3 linked regions of the Tamandua tetradactyla genome follow. The protein of the gene in region 1 interacts with the protein of each later gene in a pairwise test. Links are inferred from orthologs where the notes say so. Each region holds a gene or a part of one and is shown in the gene's direction. Other genes may lie near its edges.

Region 1 (7,657 bases):
GGTTACAAAAGCTCTAGAATTTAATAATATTTTCATCTCCTACTCAGAGGATGGTGCGTGAAATTAATGCCAGATGGGGGAAACTTAAAACGGGAAGATTCGGTGGGATTAAAGTAAAGAACTGCTTTCACAGTGACATAGTATTATCTTTCTTAATGAAAAAGACACCTTTTGACATCAGTTTTTTTTATCAAAAACAATTGTGATGAAACTAATGCAGAAGGCATTAGACTGCATTCTAAGAGGAAGAATAGGGAATAGGGCCTGAAGGTATCATTTTGTTAAAGTAATGGCGATGTGAAGCTACCTCATGTCGAAAATCCATGTATATTAAAGTGTAGTTCTGTAGCCAATATGTTAACTGATGGAAACATAAATTCTAAGTTGAATTAGGAAGAGAGAGCATGAGGCAGACGTGCAGATGGCAGGGTCAGGAGTGAGAAGTGTATTGAGGCTAACAGGGGAAAGGAAACAGAACGTAAAAAATGAGAATGGTTAACACAGACGAACTCCACATTCTTCTTAGGGTCGTGCTAATAGCAGCCGCGCATGGACAAAGGTGGTGACGGGCAGAGGTGGCCTGTGCAGAGCCAGAGGCGGGACAGCGATCTGATATTGCTTCATGCAATTGATCAAGAATTTTTACTCGCTCTTACTTCCCTGCAGCACTGCTGACTGTATAGAAAGATGTTTAGTCTCAGATAATTCTATAATGAGATTATTACATCACCAGACTACATAAATAGGTACAATCTAAATATATACAAATAAAAATAGATAAGTAAATTTCCTTTTTAAAAATAATACAGAGCTACTGCTTACTTGCTATACATTAATGCAAAACCTATTTTTGGATAGTTTCTGTACCAATGACAGAAGATTTCCAATTAAACTTTGCAGCAAGAAGATTGCTTTTATTTCTCCAGGAAACTCTGGTAGAGGAAAATGGGCAAATGTGCTGTGTTGGAAGTAAGGTTTGTATCTTAAAGACTATAAATGAAGCAAGCATGTGTAAACAGGGCAGACTTCTTCAGTGCAAGATTTCTGGTTGATCTGGAGCATAAGACTGCTATCACCCCACTCGACACACAAACCTGGTGACAAACCCATCTGATAAACAGAAGAATATCACAAGAACATTTTGAAGCTTCACAATATATTACATACATTAAGCTGCTTCCAAATCAAAAGGAGCAAAAAGCCAAATTCAAAGATAGAAGACCAACTCAAGTGATACATTTTGGGCAAATAGTGTAGAAAACAAGACATCTTAGCAGGTCTCCACCTTGCTTGCTCCATGTTTTTGATTGAGCGATGCTTTTCGTGCTTCCTTCTTTCCCCTGAGAGGAATTACAGAAATAGGATCTTACAGTTTTACATCATTTTTGGATTTTTTTACAGAAGCACTCCTTGGCTGCCAGATGCCTGTCACGTGAAGCGTGTGTGCCTAAGTGCCTCACGTGACCGACGGATGTCATCAGTCTACTGTAACATTTGATTTCCACTCAATCCGAGTAATTTTTTCCACCACTGTTGACATGGACTTGCCCTCTGTGTGGTTTCTTCTTCTCTGCAAGTGCTATATTCTCATCACTTGTGTTTGACTTCGATTATGGTCACTGATACGTCTAAGAGGTTGAAACATACTTCTGGGTCAATGGCATGAGAAATGGATGGACTGTGGAAAACCCCATCCCTGTGTGGGGGTGGAGGATTCCTCAAAAGAGCCACCAAGTGGGGGTGGGCTTCTGAGCTGAGGGGCCGGCCCCTGTGCTTTCCAGGCGGGGGCCCTGTGTATTTTCTTGGATTCTTTGTGTCCCCTATTTGAGAAGATGGCGAAACTGGCATAGAAAGTAAGTATTTAGTAAAGAAAATTTAGAAGGCTTTCCCCCACCGTAATGATGGATTTGTATTCATCCTGTCAAGCATTTTTTGTTTTTCTCTTGGGCCTAGTGAGACAGGCTGGGTGAGGCCACTTCTGGCTGAGCAGGAGCTCTGGGAAATGAACCACATGAAGACGAAATGGGGACTTTGGCCTCCTCTAGTGCTGCTGACCTTAAGTAAGCCTTCCTCTGTCCGACAGCCAAGTGCCATCACTGTCTTTTCAGAAAACAACAAAGACGCAGTGTGGATTAATGAATTTTTCAAACAGCTTTAAGATGGATAAGATTGATTGACTCTGGGTCTAATCTAGCTTTCAGCCTGTGTGGCGTGTTCACGTGTCTCGTCTGTGGAGAATGAAGTTCAGGGTTAGGGTTAGGGTCAGAGCCAGGGTCAGGGTCAGGATCAGGGTCAGGATCAGGGTCAGGTTTGGGGTTAGGGTTAGGGTCAGGAGCACACACTGGCTTTTAATCTACTTGGTGCCATTTGACTAGGATGCTAGAATTTGTGGACTGAACTCTATCAAGGTTGGACTGGAAGTGGTTAAAAAAGCAAAATAAAAAAACTCTCCTCCAACCCACTTGCAAAGCCTGCACATAGTTTTTTGTGTGTATATAGGACCCATTAAAAAGAGAGTATTTGGGAGACACTGAGCAAGCAACATGAGCAGTACTTTTTAAGAAGCAGAGATTGACAGACAAGGCTAATCTAGAGGAGAATGTACAGGGAGCAGTTGTTTGGAGTTGTGGGTATACTAGAGATAGACATGTCTTCCTTTTTAGTAATTACTTGCATATACCACATTATTTTGGATGGGAGGATTCAACAGCAATAGACGAAGTGGTTTCTTTCCTGAAACGGCTGATCATACATCCTGTCCATGCAGCTGGTGAGAAGAAGGAAATCAGGACAAGGCTTTGCGCACCTAAGTTACTGTGCACCTCCTGACGAGTGTCCTGAGGCAGGGGTCACAGGTGGCCATGCAAATGTACAGGAAAAGGAACAGCAACAGACACTTACAGGTGCTGCTGCTACATCTCACTGGCTGCTTTAGTTAGGAGGCCTCTGGGGCGGGCCTCAGGGGCCCCCTCCTGCCTGTCTCCTGCTGGCTCTGGACCTCTTGCTGAAGCAGACTGCTGGGCGCCCTGAGGGCATTGCTGTGACTGAGTGAGAGGAGAGGCAACTGGACAGCTGTGAGCAACTTGATCTGATCATTAAAAGGGTAGCCTTTCTGATATTGGCTTTTAAATACTCCAGAAAAAAGGAGGGGGATAGAGATAAAACAAGACTGACAAAATGTTATATTTTTGTCTGAGTTATGGGTGCATGGGGTGGCTATCAGAGCATCTTTATATAAAGTTATTGTAAGAATTAAATTGGAGACTCCAGATAAAGTGCTATGGGTGTGAACAAAGACATTCCTACTACTAGAGAAATGACTCAACCTGTAGGCCTTACTCATTGCGGGTCAATAACACTGGATACAGAGAGCTCATGCTGGGGCACCCCGAAGGCACTGCCGAGGCCTGCAGCATTCCCTGGCTCTCAAGCTGCTTCTCCTGTCCTCCGCCTACCTCACTCGCTGCTCCTTCTCTGGATCCTCTGCTCAATCCTCCTCCTCATGCTTTCTAAGTGTTGGCACGCCCATGGCTCAGTTCTTGGTCCCTTCTTTTCCCGAGCTGCATCATCAGTTGACTTCACTAGTTTTGTATGCTGTACCCTGCAGATCCATAACTTTCTGAAATGTATGTTAATTGCCAACGCCTTACCTTCACATGGATATTAAATAGACATCTCAAAATTATCGAGTCTAATTCAGAGGGCCCACGACGACCCCTTTCCCCAATTTGTTTCTTCTCAATCTCTCCAATCTCAGCAAATGTGGCAACTGCATTCTTCCAAGGGTGCAGACCCAAACCCCTGGAATCAGCTTTGACTCCTCTTCCTTACACCCTTATCGGAGCCATCAGCCATTCTTGTGGGCGGTGTACACAAAACCTCGCCTAGGAGGGGCTCAGTTCGCTCATCCAGCGATGGACAGCCGAGGGCAAGGCCCGGCTTCTTGCCGGGGCCCGGGACATTCCTTTCTGCCTCAGTTCCACCGTTTGTTGTGCCCACCCTTCCCTGCTCCCTGGCATAGCTCGCGTCAAAAAGGGGTGATGTGAGCACCTGTGAAGAGGGGTAGTGGGGACCCCTGAACCATCACTGGGCGGGGCTGCACCTTCCTTGCACAGAGACACCCTCTTATCTCCCACCACGCCACCCCGCAGAGGCCCCTGCATCGCGACCCGCCTGGCTCCCGACTTGCGCTTGCGGAGTCCGGAAGCAGTCGGGAGAGACCTGGGCGCCGGGGAGGGCCCTGGGAGCCGGGGAGGGCCTTGAGCGCGGGGGAGGGCCTTGGGCGGGGTGGGCCCTGGCGCGGGGGAGGGCCTTGGGCGGGGTGGGCCCTGGCGCGGGGGAGGGCCTTGGGCGGGGAGGGCCCTGGGCGCGGGGGAGGGCCTTGGGCCGCCGAGGCCGCCTCCCGCCCCGTCACCGCGGCGGCGGAGGCGGGGGCTGAACCCGGAAGTGGCCGAGCCCGCGCGCGCCCCGCCGCCGCCCCGCACTCGGGAGCCGCGCGCTCGGGAGCCGCGCACTGGGCAGCCGCGGAAGCCGAGCACTCGGGTGTCGGGAGTGGCGCGGAGGGACGGAACGCACTACCCAGGCCCTGGCCGCGGAGGCCACCGCGCGTGGGGGCGCGCGCTGAGCGACGTGGCGCCCTTCGCGGGGCGCATGGCGCGCGACTCGGCGGGCAGGCGGTGCCGGCGTCCGCGGCTGGAATGGTGCTGGCGGCGGCCGGTGCCCGCGATCTGAAGCCCGGGAGAAGCCACGATGGAGGCGCCGCCGCTGCCCCCCGCGTGAGTGGGCTGCCGCCTCGGGTGGCCGCGGGGGCGCGGGCCGGGGTGGCGCGGGCGGAAACTAGCCTACCAGGCGGAGACTTGGAGACGCTGCCCAGACTCCCAGGGAAGGGTCTGCCCACTCCGGACGCAGAGGCTCGGCGGGGCCGTGCGCGGGGACCTCCCGCAAGTGCCCGCGCTGCTGAGATGCGGCCGGCCGACCCTTCCGAGGGCTGGAGAGGCGACGCCCGGCAGGCCACTGAGAAAGGAAAATGGGAGCTACCGGGAGGGCGTCTCAATCAGTTGACCTTAGGTTTCTTGCTTCCCTAAATTTCTAACAGAATTAATAAGTGAGGAGCTTTTGCATCACTCTGAATGAGCCGCTGCTGTCTGGGCATGTGACCTCTTTTACCTGGCACTGCAGAACGTTTTGTCCGGAAATCTGAGGGCATCTTCTGTTTCCCTGGTACTGGGCACATCAGGAGCGTAGCGGCCAGTCGGCACAGGTGTCTCTTTTCTTGGTACCAAAATGCATTCCAGATTATCTGCAACAAAATTACTTTCCAGAAATAATAATAGCTGAAAATGTACGTGGAAGGTATTACATGTTCAGTACAAGATTTTTAAAAAATTGGTGAAAGTAGAGTGTCCTGAGAGTTTTGAAAATTTCGATTTCGATTTGCTTTTCTGAGTTTAACCTTTAGGAAGAAACAAGGGATCTTTGAATCTGACTTTTCATTTCCTTCTGGAGAACTGTGTACCTCTTGAGAGCTTATTCTCCTGGCCTTATCATTTTTCGTTTAAATGTGGCCCCTCTCCCTCCAGGGCAGTTCTCCTGCAGTAGCTGCTTGTGCTGATTCGGCAAAATTCCAGCCAAAATATAGATATTTAGTTTGGGCTGAATAGTTTTTTGATATTGAGTCCATTTAGGAATGTCGAGAGGATTCTGGAAGTACAGTTTCTAGAAACATCTTTCAGAATGTTTAATTTGAGTGGACCAGGTCATGTGGGGTCAGAGGAGCAGAGGGGGACCCTTGAACTGACCCCTGTGCCCTGCCAAGCAGGGGCTCGGTGGCTGTGACCACTGTAGCTTTGAGAGCAGTGCTGTGGGCCGTCCTGGAGGCTCCTTGGCCCAGGGAGATGGGTACTGAGAGGTCAAGGGCGCGCGGGCCAGGCTCAGCGGCACCTGGGACTGCAGACGTGTAGGGGTGCTACCTGGAGGGAATCTGCCCCTTCCGCCAGTCCTCTGTGGACCCTTTTCACTTTGGGAGCAGAGGGAACTAAAGGAAGGCACAAGGTGGTCTTGGAAGGCAGATGAAAGGATATGGAAGGAGGGAGTAGAGACACAAATGTGATTTAAATCGAGGTACTTTCACTTGAAGCGTGCATGTACAGCTCCTGATAACTGCATGGAGGGTGGGTCATAATTGTGCGGAACAACGAGAGGCTGACATCTGGGGAAGCCTGGGGTGCCAGCAGGGACGAGACAGCTGTTAGAACTCCTTCCAATCATGGGTGGCTCAGGTTGCCAAGACTTTCCTTGTTGTTTCTGTCCATTTAATTATAATCATAGATGAGGTTTGTTTTCATTTTTCTCTCCAGGGTTCACTCTTAATTCCAGAGCTCATTATGCCGTTACTTGCCTTTCTGCAGGTCAGGCATTGTTTTGTTTTCCTTCTCACCCCACGGCGGGTCTGTTTCCCGGCCCGTTGACTTGTTTCTCCTTTTGTGCTGGAGTGTGGTTGCCCATTTGAGAAATTCATCCGGGTCTTTGGAGAGAGGCTCCAAGAGTCTCCCTGTGGAGCTGGGCACCTTAGATTTACCCTGAGCCTTAAGACCAAGCAAGATGCTGCAGGTGGACTGAGAGCAGCCTGAACGGTGTGGCCAGAGCAGGGGGCCTCCTCTCGGACCAGCGTCTGTCTGCTGTTCCCCCTTCTGCCCGTGGCGAATGTCCGTGTTGCCGGGTGCTGCGCGCTGCCTTGTACCCGGCTCCTCCCCTAGCGTGTCCAGCCGTTCTCAGGCTCACTTTGTCCCTTGGCCCGCTGTCACACACCTCGGGGGTCACCGTCCTCACCCTTTCGGGGCGGACTCTGGGAAATCAGGTATTCTTCACTGTGCTCCCTCCACCCTGCTGCCCATCCCCGCTCCATGCTTGCCTGGCTGTGCCCGGGCTCTGGGCTCGGCGTGTGCTTTCACCCTGGAGGACAGGCGGTGCCTCGTCCCGTGGTCTCTGCCTGTGGCCGCACCTGAAAGGTGGCAGGCTGAGGACCGGCCCGAGGAGCGGAGACTCGGGCAGTGAAGGGAGCCCCGTGGGGGGAGTGCGGCTGCCCAGCCGGCCCCGGGCCCTTCGCCCTGGCGGTGACTGAACGTGGGGCCCAGTGGGTGCGTCCAGGGAGCACGGCGTCCACCGCCTCACGCGCAGGCTTCTGGGCCCCGCTGCCTCAGTGGCTCCTTTTTCACAAGTAGGTGTAATCTCCACAGTCTCTGCTTTTGCTTTTTCTTCACGAAATTAAGCGAACATACCTCAGACACAACTATACGTGTATATATATGTGTGTATTCCAGTTGGTGATTCCACGTCACCGGGGAGGCCACTGGCGCCATCTGGACACAGGCAGGCAAATCCTGTTCTCCGTGTTCTAAGGGTTTGAGTGTTGGAAGATGGTTAGGTCGGAGGTCCCTGGATTTTGGATTACACTGATCTGTGAAGTTAAGAACAGAAAACTGGAGCAGAATAAGGCTCTTTGAAGGGCATAGAACGAAAATTTCTTTCAGATGCTCCTCTATAGGATTGTGTCAAGTCCCAAATGTATTGACTGTTTGGGGCGACCTCAGAGAACTGAAAACAGAGCCCTCTTCCTGATACAGTAACAGAGCCCCTGGCCTGGGGGCGGTCAGTACTA
Region 2 (7,760 bases), on another chromosome or scaffold:
TGCTAGTTTGGGTTTCCCCTATGACATGGTGGCCTCAGACGGTCACACTGCCCAAATGGTGGCTGCAGTGCTCAAGCACAGGATTCCAGGGAAAGAGGCAAAAGCTTCATGGTCTTCTTTTTGCATTTTTAGAAAAAATTTTATTGCGATAACATATATGCAGCATAATATTGGCCATCTGAGCCACTTCCGGGTATACAGCTCGGTGGTGGCAATCTCATTCATGATGTTGAGGTACCATCGCCACCATCCGTTACCAATACTTGTCCTTCGCCCCAGAGACTCGGTCCCTGTGGAACATCATGCACGGCCTCTTCTGACCCGATCCTGGAAGTCGTGCACTGTCAATTTTGCCACCTTCTGTTGTTTCCACGCAAGTCACAAAGCTGCAGAGTGAAGAGGAGAGGGGCACAGAACCCACCTCTCCATAGAAAGAGTGTTGAGGAGCCTGTGGGATGAGAGGTATTGGTGGAGCCATCCCTGAAAAATGCAAACTGCCCCAGCTGCCGTGGCTGAAATGAATTCAAATCTCTTATTCTGACATCACCTCTTCAGAGAATAACCTCCCGGTATAAAGAAAAGCTCCCTGATTCTTTTGCATTATGAGCGCCTGATTCAAAAGTATGGCAGGATTTGCCAAGCTTAGATCACCTTACCTCCAAAGTGAGGCAAGAAAGCAAATATCTGTCCTTGGCTTCAACAAAAGGGCATCAGGCTTTCATTCAGTGGAGATTTCTCTGAATGTGGGAAGAGGCTGCAAATCCTGGGAAATGGCCCCAGAAGGAACTCATTATAGTCCATCCCCTTTGCATGTCAACGTCAGTATGCAACATTCATCTTCTCTTTATGTATCCCCCCTCCAAAGGTTCTTATCTAAACTCTCCTTGCACCAGTAACTGTCATTGTACAACCAAGATGCATTCATACCCTTGTCCCCAAACAATAAAAAATTCCAACGGTTCCATTAAACATCCAAATCTGGCATTATTGAGGAATGATATCCACTCCCCTTCCAAAGGTGACATGATCCCTATATTCTGCAAGCTGGGAACTAATTTTTTTTTTTCTAATGTTTAATGTAGAAACATATATGTGGCATGGCATTTGCCATCTGAGCCACTTTCAAGTATATAATTCAGTGAGGTTAATTGCAGTTGGCACATTGCGCCTCTATCACCACCACCCATGAAACTCTCTCTAGCACCCCAAACCAAGAAATTCTGTACCCATTAAACTTTAACTCCCCCACCCCCCACCCCCAGATAACTCATGGTCTTCTTTCTGTCTCTGTGAATTTACATTTCATATCAGTGAGACCTATCTTCAGGACTCCTCCATGCGGTTGTGGGTATCAAAAAGTGAAAGTTTATCAACAAAACAGAAAATGACAAGTGCTGGAGAGGATGTGGAGAAAGAGGCACACTTATCCACCGTTGGTGGGAATGTCAAATGGTGCAACCACTGTGGAAGGCAGTTTGGCGGTTCCTCAAAAAGCTGAATATAGAATTGCCATACGACCCAGCAATACCATTGCTAGGTATCTACTCAAAGGACTTAAGGGCAAAGACACAAACGGACATTTGCACACCAATGTTTATAGCAGCGTTATTTACAATTGCAAAGAGATGGAAACAGCCAAAATGTCCATCAACAGAAGAATGGCTAAATAAACTGTGGTATATACATATGATGGAATATTATGCAGCTGTAAGACAAGATAAACTTATGAAGCATGTAATAACATGGATGGACCTAGAGAATATTATGCTGAGTGAGTCCAGCCAAAAACTAAAGGACAAATACTGTATGGTCCCACTGATGTGAACGGACATTTGAGAATAAACTTGAAATATGTCATTGGTAACAGAGTCCAGCAGGAGTTAGAAACAGGGTAAGATAATGGGTAATTGGAGCGGAAGGGATACAGACTGTGCAACAGGACTAGATACAAAAACTCAAAAATGGGCAGCACAATAATACCTAATTGTAAAGTAATCATGTTAAAACACTGAATGAAGCTGCATCTGAGCTATAGGGTTTTTTTGTTGTTGTTTTTTACTATTATTACTACTTTTATTTCTTTTCTCTATATTAACATTTTATATCTTTTTCTGTTGTGTTGCTAGTTCCTCTAAACCGATGCAAATGTACTAAGAAACAATGATCATGCATCTATGTGATGATGTTAAGAATTACTGAGTGCATATGTAGAACAGTATGATTTCTAAATGTTGTGTTAATTTCTTTTTTTCTTTTTTTTCTTTCTTTCCGTTAATAAAAAATAAAAAATTAAAAAAAAATCCCATTAAAAAAAAAAGTGAAAGTTAACTGTTACCCGTTGTATGTAAAATAATGGGATAAAAGTAGAGAAAAGATAAGGCTTTCTAATTAAAATACGTGTGTATAGATACATGACACAGCAAGGATGGAACTGGCAAATTAATTCATTCATTCCACAAATATTGACTCAGCTCCTCCCTACACCAAGCACTGTTTTAGGCACAGGTGATGAAAACAAAATTCCTGCAAGGATCTGAAGCACGTGAGTGAGGGAAGGAGAGGAATGTCCCAGCAGAGGAAGCAGCAAATGCAACGGCCCTGAGGCTGGAACATACCCAGCACATCTGTGCAACAGGACGGTTGCAAAGTGCAGCATCAGGTGAATGAACAAGGGGGAGAGGGTGGGAGATGAAGTAAGGCTGAATTTCAAAGGAATTTGTAAGACATGGAGCGAGCTTTAGCTTTTAATCTAATGGGAGCCATAAGAGGTTTCTGAGCATAAGAGTGATGTGATCTGACTCATATTTTAACGGGATCCCTTTGGCTGTTTGGTAGAGCATAAATTGTAGGGAGCAAATGCAGATGATGTCATGGGGCTCGTTTCTGCAAGCCTGCCAGGGGCTGCAGCTGGTGTTTATGGCTTCCCTCCACACATCCCTTTCTCTCTTCTAGAACCCCAGCTGCTTGGGTTCTTGAGGAGGGTGGACGGCGATGCTGAAGAAAAGGTGCTGACCCGTGTCCAGCCACGAGCAGATGCACAAGCCTGGGACGGCAGAGCTAGGAGTGGATGTTTGGGGTTGGAGCATGTGAGCTTGTCAGAGAGCGCTAGGGGGCTGCCTGGGAGTGCGCCTGAATTTGCCCTGGAGTGGTTTGTGTGGTGTGTCTTGTGATGAGCCAATCAGGGTGGAGTTTGCACTTGAGTTCCTGTGCTCTTGAGTTTGAGCCCCCCCCCCCACCATCCCGCACCTTCTAGGTGCCTGGCCCTGTGCTGGATGGTGCTGGGGACACAGCCGTGACCAAAACATCCCCCGGCTCCGTCCTTAGGGAGTGATGATACGGAGTGGACACGACTGGGATGAGGGAGACAAAAGGTCTGGGGTTGCCCAGAGGGATCAAGTAGGGCTTCTTGGAGGAGGAAGTTAATACTGAACGGTCACCTTTCCCAGGATAACAGTTGTTCATCTGTGTGGCCAATAGGTGAAGTGGCCTTGACCAGGCTACTCTGTGTTTTATGGGGACAAGCCCAGGTTCCAATGACTCACAGTCTGATCAGAGGCCTAAGAACCTCTCCCAGTATGACCAGCGGTCCCCATTCTGACCTGCACCCCAGGCTAGTTTCTCCCAGATGACCAATGTCACCACACTCCCCCTCCTCCTGCAGCCAACAGTCTGGGGGATTTTGTCCCAGTCCAACCCACTTGTGAGGAGCTTCTGGCAGTCTGACCTGTGATCCTCCGGCTGACCTGACTTGTGCCCCCCCCCCACACACACATCGAGTAATTCACACCATGAACAATGGTGAGGCTCTTTCCCCCTCCCCAGGTGCCCTTGCCTCCTCCCCTCCCCCACTCACCTGCTCCTGCTAGCCTGATTCTCCTCCCCTCCCCCTAAGGCTGAGAAGGTAGGAAGGGGAGAGAGAGAGGGAGAAAGGGGGGTGGCATTCTTGGGATTCCCTAGAGGGGGGGTGGCGGGGGTGGGGGGAAGGGCCTCACAGGGGACAGCAAGAGTAAGAGCACCCCGCCGCCTTCCGGCGCCCTCCCCCAACACCATTTCCACTGAGGACTGGGCCGAACAGGGATTGGAAAACCATTAGCTATAACAGGTTGACCTGGTCAGTTCCAGGTCACTGGTCACAGAGAAGACAGGCCCAGAGCCTTGATCACACACGACAGGGCCTCATGGGACATACTGGGCAAAGCCATCCCAGGCCACCGGTCATGGTGGGAGTTACAGGGCAAACTGGGAAAGTCTAATTTAGGCTGGGAAAGCCTAACTGATGAGATGGTTCTGTGGAGGCTGCCATGGGCTGTAGGTCAGTCTGGGGGCCACTGTTCACACCTGGAGAGCCCAGGGCAGCCCACTGGTTGTACTAGGATCTGCTGGTTCAAATGGATGGGGCCAGTCCAGGCCACTGGCCATAGTGGGAACATGTTCCCAAGGCCCCAGGTCAGACTGAGGGTGGAGAGGGTCGGGGATTGCCATCACTGGGTGAGGTCCCAGCCCAGGGCACTGGCTGGACTGGTCGGTCAGGACCCCCCTTCCCCCCCCACCTCCGCCTAAGCCGAGAGCCGGGGCTCGGGGGTGGAGGCAGCCCCCCGCGGCGGCCGGGGCTGGGAGGTCCAGCTCTGGGCAGTGGGAGGTCCTGGCCCCGCGCCCGGACGAGGCGGGACGAGGGGGGCCGGGAGGGCGGGGCGGGGCGGGGCACCGGGGGGCGGGGCCTCCTCTCTCCCCAGCCCCGCCGCGCGCCGAGCCGCAGCCCTGGTCAGTCGCCGCCGCCGCGAACATGGAACCCCCGGGCGCGCGGGCCGGGGCGTGCGGAGCCCCGCGGCTGCTGCTGCTGCTCGCGCTCCTGCTCGGGGCGCGCCCAGGTAGGGCTCGGGCTGAAAACGGGACAGGACTTGGGGGGCGTCTCTCCCCACTCAGACCCTGGAATATGGGCCCCCAGCCCTTTCCTCCCTCAGACCCAGGAGGCCGGGACTCCAGCCACCTCTTCCCCAGGTGACAGAAAACCCAAACTCAGGGCTCTTCCCCATCCCCCCTACCCCCACTACCAAAGGCTCTCAAGTTTTGAGGGGGCCAGTGATCCCTCAGAGACATTTGAGCAAGTCAAAGACATTGGGGGTTTCCCCAAACTGGATTCAGAGTCCGGACTCTAAGCCGCCTCTCCCAGGGCCAGGGCTGGGGCCCTGGTTTGGGCAGTGGCAGCTTCCTACTGACAGTGCCCCTTTCCTGGGGCCCCAGACAGATCCGCACACCTGCGTGGTGGGGTGGGGGTGGGGGGCGGAGGAGGCCCCTGGGGCTGGGGATGGAAGCACGGAGAGACCAGAGAGCCTGGCCGCCCGCCCCCGCCGCAGGGACAGGCGGGGGCCAGAGATGGGTGCCTGGGAATCAGGTCCCAGCAGAAGCCTGGCAAATAGTGGGTCCCTGGGGGCTGGGTTGGGCCAGGCTGGGCGGGAAGGAGAAGAGAGGTTTTGAGAACTGAGAACTGATGCCAGGATGCCAGCCCAGGGGATGAGAGAGCATGGTTTCCTGACAAGATCACCTCATTCGGCCAGGATCCTTGGACCCAGGAATCCAGGGCCACTTCCCCAACTCCCCCAGGACTAAGGAGTCCCGGCTGCAGCCCTCTCCTCCCTCAGACCCAGCCCCTCTCTCCACTTCCATCTCTCATCTCTGTGTCCCTGAGCCTCAGACCCTTTGGTGTTCCTCGCTGTCTCTCCCTTTCCTTGCTGAGCTGAGGGCGCCTCCCCTTGGCTGCACAGGGGCCTGGCACTTCTAACCAGTATCCTGGGGTAAAATTGTGCTTTCCCTCACCTTTCCCACTGGACCAAATGTCCCTCGAGGGTCGGGCCCGGCTGGCTCACCCGTTTGCCTCCAGCACCCTGGGCAGGGCTTGGCACCACCATGTGGGGAAAATGTCTCTCTCCATAGGGTCTCTACCTCTGCGTGTCTCTCCATCTGGGTACCAGCCTCTTCTCTACTTTGGCACCCCCGTCGGTTTCCCACACACAGTCTCTGGGCCTCTGTCTCAGCCCGTCCCTCTCAGTCCCCATTTCCCTCCCCAGGAGTGGGGGGCCGGGGTGTGGGCTGCGTCAGGTCTGGAGCTGAGGCGGGCTGGGTGTGTGGGAGCCGTGAGGGGGGACAGGGCTGGGCAGGTCTCAGGAATGTGGGAGGGACAGGCTGGCTCAGACCTGCCCAGCCTGGCGCCAGAGCCCCCTACCCGCCTCTTGGGGGCCCCTGTGTCTCCTTGACAGAGCAGAGAAGGGGGTAAGGTGAGTCACCTCAAAACAAGGTGGTGTTGAGGCCCAGGATCCTGGGTCTGAGGGAGGAGGGGGCTGGGGCCGCAGGAGGAGGGACACTGTCTGGAGGGCTCTCCCTGGTAGCAGTGAGTGTCAGCCTGACCACTGTCCCTGCAGATGCCCAGGCCGAGGTGCACATCTCTGTGCCTCCCCTGATGGAGGTGATGCGAGGGGAATCCGTGACCCTGGACTGCACCGTCTTGGGGGCCCACGGCCCTTTCATGCTGGATTGGTTCCTGGTGAGTGCTGCCAGTTGGCAGTCTGGGCCCGGTGGGACTGGCAGATGTGACCTCCTCAGAACCCGAAGAACCCTTAGCTAACTGCCAAGCTGCATCCCCATTTCCCAGATTGGGAAGTTGGGGTCCAGCCAGGGGGAAGGAGTCTCTCCCAGGTCTCCAGGTGTCTGAGCATGGGTGAGACTTAGAACGAAGTCCTCCTTCTGAGTACTGGCTCTTGAGACAGGGAGAGAGCATTCAGAGCCAAAGACACCAAGAAAGGGAGAGAGATGGGGCAGCATGAATGAGAAGGAGGTAAAATGAGTGGCAAGGCACGAGGCGAGACAGAAAGAAAGAGGCATGGGAACAGAATAGAAGAAGAAAGAGGAAGAGGGAGAGAGCAGAAAGAGAAGAGAGGGAAGCTGGGGTGGGAGGGAAGGTAGAAAGGACCAGAGGGACCAGAGAGAGAGATAAGGGGAAGACAGATAAGCCATGCAGAAGCAGAAAGAATGGGCCCTGGAGCAAGTCCCAGGAGATAGAGGAGGCTCAGGCCAGGATGCTGAGCTGAGGCCCTCCCTGCCTTCTTTTTTTTTTTTTTAGCATTTTCTTCTTTTTTTGTAAAATACAACATATATACAAAGCAAAGAAGGGAAAAAATAATAATAATAATTTTCAAAGCACACTTCAGCAAGTAGTTACAGAACAGACCCCAGAGTTGGTCGTGGGCTACCAATCTACCATCTCAGATTTTTCCTTTAGCTTCTACAAAACACTGGAAGCCAGAAGGAATATTAATACAGTGATTCAGCAGCCATACTCATTTGTTAAATCCTATTCTCTCTGTTGTACCTCCTCCTTCGTCTTTGGTCAGTGCCCATTCTGCCTTTTTCATGTGGAGAAGGGGTGTTGACACTAAATGACAGAGATATGTAATTAACTGATAATCTTGGAGAGGCTGGTCCCTCTGGGTTTCAGGATTTATTTAACCTAGGAACCGTCCAGGAATTACAGGTTCCAGGAAAGCAAGCCCAGTACATGAAACCTTTAGAGAGTCTCAGTTCCAGCTATAAGAATTAACCGAAGTCAGTGGTTGGGGTTTAGCAAACCATGGCAATTAGCACTATTCTAACTGAAGCTTGCATGAGAATAGCCTCCAGAATTGCCTCTTGACTGTTATTTCATCTCTCTTGGCCACTGATGCCTTATTTTATTACATTTTTCCCCCTTTCTGGTCCAGAAGGTGTTG
Region 3 (7,621 bases), on another chromosome or scaffold:
ATAAATAATTAGCTCATTAACTTTCAGCCTACTTTCTATTTCTAATATTAAGATCTAAGGCACTAACGTTTATACTTAACGGTGCTATTTACTATTTTATATGCATCACATAAATTTGGACATATATTCTTTTGGTTATTGTTTGGTTGTAAATATTTTTTTATTTCAATTATGGTTTTTCTTTAACCCATTTACAAGTGTAATTCATAAATTCTAAGTATATGGGTACTGTTTACTATCTCCTTGTTTTCGATTGTTGTTAATTTAATTGCATTGTGGTCATAGAACATATTCTGTAGGATTTCAGTCATTTCAAATTTGTGAGAATTGCTGTCTGGCCAAATACATTATCAATATTTATAACTATTCCATATATGTTTGAAAATATAGGTATTATTCCAAGACTGGAATATATAGAGCTCTATGTAGAGCTGCCAAATTCTGTTTTGGTCAAGACTTCTAAATCATTGATGATGTTTTGTCTGCTTGTCTTTCAATTACTGAAAAAAGCTCTTCTACTTCTTGAATTACGATCAGTTTTTCTTTATTTTAGAATTTTGATTATATATATAAATTTAAAGTGGAAACTTTTAGCATTATGAAGCAATAACTTTTTCTATCTCCAGTAATACTTTTTGACTTGTCTGTTTTGTATAAGATTAATATATTGATATCAGCATTCTTTGGGTATTTGCTTACCCTACCTGGTTCCATCTTTTTATGTTCAATTTTTCAGTTTCTTTATAGTTCAGATGTGTGTCTCTTAATGATTACCATTGGATTTTTTAAAAATCCAGTCTGACATATTTGTTTTTAAATTGGGGCACTTAACCTATTATCATCATTTTATTTGGGATCAAATCTACCATTTTATATTTATACAAATATAAACATATTTATATAAATATATTTATATAAATATATATTATTTATATGTTTGTAAAAATATATATTATATTTATATATATTTGTATAAATCTACCAATTTATATTAATGCCTTATTTTTCTGTCATGGCAAATGCCACACAATGAGTTGGCCTAAAAACAGGAATTTACTGGCTCGCAGTTTCAGAGGCTAGAAGGCCTGCTTGCTCCAAGGACTGGTAGAATCTGGCTGTCTGGCCATTCTTGGGCTCCTTGGCTTTCCCACCATAAGGTAAGGTTTTCTTTTCTTTCTCTTCCAAGTTCTTTTGATTTTTCAGTTTCTGCAACTCAATGTGCCTCTCTTTCCATGAAGTCTCCTGGAAAAGGATTAAAGCCAATCTTACTCACTTGGGCCACAATTTAGCTAAAAATAACATCTTCAAAAGGTTCTATTGATACGAATGAAGCTGATATGGATAGGACTAAGGTATACTAGAAGACTGGGTAAAGGATGATATCATCCATATTTTAAAGCCTCAATTTTGGGTGAGACTAAAGGTTGATTTGTTTATTCTGTACAAAGTTTACTTTTGGTTAGTGCATTTCCTAATTTAACTTTTAAGTCAGTTTAGTTGAACAGCATAAGTACATGGAATTTCAAATAGGGCATGAGATTTTCTTGGTTTGTCCAGGTTAGTTTGATGCCCTGATAAATCCCAGAGAATCAGAGCAGTGAATAAAGGCATATTTGCAAAGTCCCCTTGGGAGACCAGGGATGAGGGAGGAAATATTCAACTTCCCCAGTTGGAGTATTTCTAATACTTTTGCAAGCAGTGGGGACAACCAAAGCAATAGGCCAAGCCCTCGAGCTTGGGTTCCTCTCCCATGAAACTTATTCCTGTAAAGGACAGGGTAAGTCTACTTAAAATTATGCCTAGGAGTCACCCCAAGAGAACCTTTTTGTTGCTCAGATGTGGCCTCTCTCGCTAAGCCAACTCAGCACATGAACTCACTGCCCTCCCTTCTAATTGGGACATGATTCCCAAGGGTGTAAATTTCCCTGGCAACCTGGGACAGAACTCCCGGATTAAGCCAGGACAGGCATGAAGAGTCTGAGAAAGCCTTCTTGACCAAAAGGAGGAAGAGAGAAATGAAGCAATGTAAAGTTTCAGAGGCCGAGAGATTTCAGAGTCCTGAGGTTATGCTGGAGGTTATTCTTATGGATATCCCTTTTTAGTTTATGGTGTATTGGCGTGGCTAGAGGGAAGTACTTGAAACTGTTGAGCTGTTTTCCAGTAGCCTAGAATCTTGAAGACGATTATATAAAGCTATAACGTTTACAATGTGACTGTATGATTGTGCTAACTTTGTGTCTGATGCTCCTTATATTCAGGATATGGACAGATGAGTGAAATATACGATTAAAAATAAATAAACAAATAACAGAGGAAAAGGGGTAAAATATTACGTAGATGGAAACACTAGTAGTAAGTGGGAGGGTGGGGTAAGGTGTTTGGTATGTGTGAGTTATTTTTTTTTTTCTTTTTCTGTAGTGACGCACATGTTCTAAAAAGTGATCATGGTGATGAATACAAAACTATGTGACGATATTGTGAGCCACTGATTGTGCACCATGCACAGAAAGAATGTGTGAAGGTTTTTCTCAATAAAAACATTTTAAAAAAAGAGTCAATAAAAAAAGTTCTGTTTCCAATGTGTGATCACCCACAGGAAAGGATTAAGAACATGTTTTTTTCCTGTGGTACATAAGTCAACCTACCACAACTACTATCCTATGTTTCTTTTTTCCTTTGCTTTGGATTAACTGGAGTATTTCTTTTTTTTTTAATAACTCTATACTTTTTTGTACTGTTTTCTATTTTTAGTGGTCACCCTCAAAATCACATGTATGATTTTGTCAATATCCAATGTTAATCAATACTTAACATACAACACACATGTATAACAGTGTGCACATGTTGAAGCATAGGAAAACATCGTTAAAAGGATACAGAACAAACGCACGGGGTCACTTGGGGACAGCGGTTGAATTGAAGGAGTGGGGACATTAACTCTGCTTATCACCGTGGTACATGTACATATTAAATGATGCTCAAGTATCTTTCATATTATTGCTGTTTCAGGATATAAGTGTTTCAGGATATATAACTTGTTGACATTGGCAGTCTTAAATTTAGGAACAGGGTAGGTGCAGGTAGAGATTTGCGATGAGTAGAGCAATTAGGAACAGCTATAATGAGAAATGCAATGCTCCTGGAGCTGCAGAACAACTCAGGAGGCTGATGTGCACCGGGCCAGACCCGAGAGATGGGTCGGGAGAGCGAAAGGTGGCTTCCCGGGAAGCGACGGGTCCCTGGCTCCGGAGCTGGGGCGCAAATACGCCGGCCACAGGGCGCGGCGCTCCTTCGCAGGTCCACGCGGCGCGCCCAGGCCGCTCCTCTTCCGCCGGGCCCGCCAGCACGCGAGCCGAACCAGAGCAGGGCTCGGCGGACGCAGCGCCCCCGAGGCTCCGACCGCTGCCCTAAGGCCTCTGCCCCGTGCGAGCGCAAAGGCGCGTCCCGCGGTGAGAAGAAGCCAGAAAATCGGGATTGACAGGCGGCTTCACGGGGGAGGAGAGCAAGACCGAGGCGGGGCCGCCCGGGCCGCGGGGACCGGGGCAGGACGGCGGAGCTGGGGGTCACCGGCCGCCCGGGGCAGGACGGCGGAGCTGGGGGTCACCGGCCGCCCGGGGCAGGACGGCGGAGCTGGGGGTCACCGGCAGCCCGGGGCAGGACGGCGGAGCTGGGGGTCACCGGCCGCCCGGGGCAGGACGGCGGAGCTGGGGGTCACCGGCCGCCCGGGGCAGGACGGCGGAGCTGGGGGTCACCGGCCGCCCGGGGCAGGACGGCGGAGCTGGGGGTCACCGGCCGCCCGGGGCAGGACGGCGGAGCTGGGGGTCACCGGCCGCCCGGGGCAGGACGGCCGAGCTGAGGGTCACCGGCCGCCCGCGGCAGGACGGCGGAGCTGGGGGTCACCGGCCGCCCGGGGCAGGACGGCGGAGCTGGGGGTCACCGGCCGCCCGGGGCAGGACGGCGGAGCTGGGGGTCACCGGCCGCCCGGGGCAGGACGGCGGAGCTGGGGGTCACCGGCCGCCCGGGGCAGGACGGCGGAGCTGGGGGTCACCGGCCGCACGGGGCAGGACGGCCGAGCTGAGGGTCACCGGCCGCCCGCGGCAGGACGGCGGAGCTGAGGGTCACCGGCCGCCCGGGGCAGGACGGCGGAGCTGGGGGTCACCGGCCGCACGGGGCAGGACGGCGGAGCTGAGGGTCACCGGCCGCCCGGGGCAGGACGGCGGAGTTGAGGGTCACCGGCCTCCCGGGGCAGGACGGCGGAGCTGGGGGTCACCGGCCGCACGGGGCTGCCCGCAGGCACAACGCCGGCACCGCGGCGCGGGAGCTCGTCTCAGGCCGCCCCTCTTCGGGCTCTTCTGTGGAGCCGCGGACCCCCGCGGACGCCACAGCTCCTTCCCGGCCCGGCGCGAGCAGCTGGAGAGGCCGCCCAAAGTTCGGCCTCGCGCTCAGCGTCGGCCACGCCCCCTCCCGCCCCGCGCCCCGACACTGCGGCTCGGCGCGCCAGGACGTGATGCGGAAGAAAAAGACAAGGTCTCGGTTTCCCGGGACATTTCAGAGCCGCGCACCAGCCCCTCCTTTTCCGGTGGGCCGCACGCCTTTTCCGGTGGGCCGCACGTGTCTTTGGACCGGAGCTTCTCCCGGAGAAGTACCCGCTGTAGTCGCTGCGGCCGCCCCCGCTGGAGCGCGGAGGCCCACCAGGACGCGGGGACGTCACCATGGTGGGTGCCCTTTCTGCCCCCTCGAGCCCGCCCGGCTCCCGGGAAGGCCTCTGTCGGGCAGGTAGGGATGGAGGGCGCGGTTCCGGGAAGCTGGCGTCGGCTGGCTCGGAAGAGGCCCCGCGTGGGTGAGGGGAGATGCGAATGCCTTTGGGGGCCTGGCGGCGGCTTCGGCCGGGCCGGGCCGGGCGTCCCGGAGGTGAGGCCAGGCCCTCGGGCCGCACCGCAAAGCTCCGCGACGGAACCGTGACGTGCTGGCTCCGTGCTGAGCCTCCTAGGCCGCCTCCTGACTCTCCTCCCTCGGGGGACCCCGCGCTCGGCCTGCTCGTACCCACCGCGGTCGCTCTGCGATGTTGGGGGAGGCTGGAGAGCGAGCCCTTCACCGCGGCGCGTGCAGGCCGGGCGCCGCCTCCTCGCCCCCGCCACCCCCCGGCCTCACTGGGTCCGGCCGCCGAGCTCCCGTCCCCGCCGTGCTCTGAAACGGGTCTGGTTTTATTAAAAACTGAGTAGACGCAACCGAGATTTAGAAAACATATTTAAGTTGTAAGAGGAGCTATTGTAGGAGCTTTCGTCATGATCGTTTTAAAGAAGTAGAACATAACGTAGCTTTTGAGAACGTTTGCGTGTCCCTCCTTGATTTTGTGACCTTCGGTAGCCCCTGAGAGGTGCACAGCATCAGAATCTTGGGTTTACAATTCTCTGGGTTTTCCTTGTAGGTCTACCACAAATTTGTATCCTAAAACAGTACATCGATTTTTTGCTTTTTTTCACTTGTTCCTTAGAATTGCACTTCTTGTATAGGAACATGTTTTGCAAGTATCCAGTTTTCTTATCAATTTTCGGTCAGCACAACAAGAAAATAAAAACAAGGTTTAAAGTTTGGTGGAAAGTTGTATTTTGACCATGTTTTTTATACTTTTTCTCTTTCTTTTCTTCCCTTTTCATTGCATGCCGGTCATTGTCTTTTGTATTTATCTACGGTCTGCTTTTTTTGCTTTAAGATTATACACACTTTTGTAAAGTCAGTGTGTTTGTTTTATCACCATGCTTGTGTGATTTACACCCCTTTAAAATACAGTTTTCTCTCTCAACCTTTTCATTTTCAGAGTAGAACGTTGGAATAGTTACATGGGATTGTCTGTGGGGGGTCAGTTGGCATTTAGCTGTAGTCCTAGATTATCAGAACTTCACTTTTTTTCAGGCTGCTTGTTAGTAATACAGTGCTTTAGCATAAGACTGAAAAGAATGGTTTAAAAACCTCTTCTTATTGGCACATTTCTTGCCCTGTCGTTATTCCGGTATAGCATCACCAGTGCTTCTTCCACATCTTCCCTCTGATTTGGCGCTGGCGGTTTTTATTTTGTCTCAGCTACTCTAAACTTACTACAGTATGGCTCAGAATGTGAGCTGTGGAGTCCCAGAGGACTGTTTGGCACCTGTGTTTGCTAAACTGTGATTTTGGAGAAATTACTTCACCTAATTCTCAGTTGCCCCATCTGTTAAATTGAGATAAGGATAGTACCTGCTTCTTAGAATTGTTGTGGAAGTTAAATGTGAAGTGTCTAGTCCCTTGTCTGGCACTTAGTGTTACTTGTTGTTCTGAACCTTAGTAATAGTAGTAAGTAGTAACAGGGCACAGCTTGTACTTGTTTGCTTTTGTTACTTTGTTCATTTATTTTCTCTTTAAATCTTTCCTGGAATTTCGCAAGTTCATATATATATATATTTATCTTAATATCACAACTATGTGAAATCTTTTAAAATCTTTTTAAAATAATCCATCCCACTGACCGTTTCTTTATTTTGCGTTTAACATTTTTTTTGTAGTGCTTTTAAGTTGGTGTGTACTCATGGCTGTACACCTTTTTACTTAAGCCTCTTGTTGTAGAGTCTAAGTGTTGTGCTTTTTTTCTCCTTAGCTGGATTATAAACCATTAGAAAGCGGGCTGGCATCCTCCTTAGACCTATCCTTCCACATCACTGAGCATTATCTGCATCGGACTGCCTACATATTCTTTAATGTCAGGGATTGTGTTCTCTTGGGCTCACATCTATAAATGTGAACTAAAACAACGAATGAGTTTAAAGAGATTACATATTAGTAAAAATTTGCACTTGAAAGGTGTAAGGCCTGGTCTCGTAGCCTTTGGCTGGAAGGCCCCCACCCGAACTAAAACCGTGAACATCTGGGCATACAGCTGTTCAAACTCAGCCAATTAGGACCTGCCCTGACAGAGACCCCCCCTACACACGGCCCGTGACTATACCCACTGCACATGGCCTGTGGCTATACCCACTGCACACGCCCCCTGGCCATGGGCCATAGCTATGCCCACTGCACACGGCTGTAGTTATGCCCCCCTGCCAAGGCCCATAGCTATGCCCATGGCCCTAAAGCGAGTGAAACTCCTAACCTACCACAGGAGGCCCCGTAGGCATTGTCAGCACCCCCCTAGCTAGCCTATATCTAACCCTGCCGCTCCTGGGCGGGGTCGCGACTTCCCCGGCCCGCACCCTGAGTACCCAGACCCGGGACCTCGCCCTGGGACAATAAAATTTTAAACTCGGACTCAGTTTCTCTGATTTTTCAGTTGGCTACCATCTAAAACCTGACAAAAAGTAGTAAATACAAGGAAAAACATTAATGAAACTACCTAGTGTACCAACCTTTTTAAGAGTAATGTTAATATGTGCAGGGTCTTTTAAAAAATTGAGTAAAAGATAATATTCCTGAAGAGTATATTAGTTTCCTGCTGTTGCCACAGATTTAATTCCTTAAAGTAATATATATTTATTATCTTAACATTTCTGAATGTCAAATGTCTGAAATTGGGCCTTGCTAAAATAAAATCAGGGTGTTGACAGATTTGTGTTCATTAAGAGGATTTAGTGGGGTATGTTTTCTATGT

The links.
Region 2: the proteins of KLHL2 (region 1) and BCAM interact in binary tests that used the Homo sapiens proteins (3 or more experiments, as listed by UniProt). The two-hybrid records come from large-scale screens. The link is inferred for Tamandua tetradactyla from reciprocal best matches to the Homo sapiens genes KLHL2 and BCAM.
Region 3: the proteins of KLHL2 (region 1) and TMA16 interact in binary tests that used the Homo sapiens proteins (3 or more experiments, as listed by UniProt). The two-hybrid records come from large-scale screens. The link is inferred for Tamandua tetradactyla from reciprocal best matches to the Homo sapiens genes KLHL2 and TMA16.

Annotation. Positions count from the first base shown.
Region 1 is NC_135352.1:47,417,212-47,424,868, reverse strand, and holds the start of KLHL2 (kelch-like protein 2), read left to right. Parts: upstream 1-4,651; 5' UTR 4,652-4,749; coding exon 4,750-4,775; intron 4,776-7,657. UniProt on the Homo sapiens protein: Substrate-specific adapter of a BCR (BTB-CUL3-RBX1) E3 ubiquitin ligase complex that mediates the ubiquitination of target proteins, such as NPTXR, WNK1, WNK3 and WNK4, leading most often to their proteasomal degradation.
Region 2 is NC_135342.1:18,236,371-18,244,130, reverse strand, and holds the start of BCAM (basal cell adhesion molecule), read left to right. Parts: upstream 1-4,752; 5' UTR 4,753-4,783; coding exon 4,784-4,868; intron 4,869-6,416; coding exon 6,417-6,538; intron 6,539-7,760. UniProt on the Homo sapiens protein: Transmembrane glycoprotein that functions as both a receptor and an adhesion molecule playing a crucial role in cell adhesion, motility, migration and invasion.
Region 3 is NC_135348.1:2,050,908-2,058,528, reverse strand, and holds the start of TMA16 (translation machinery-associated protein 16), read left to right. Parts: upstream 1-4,613; 5' UTR 4,614-4,712; coding exon of another isoform or gene 4,713-4,715; intron 4,716-7,621. UniProt on the Homo sapiens protein: Involved in the biogenesis of the 60S ribosomal subunit in the nucleus.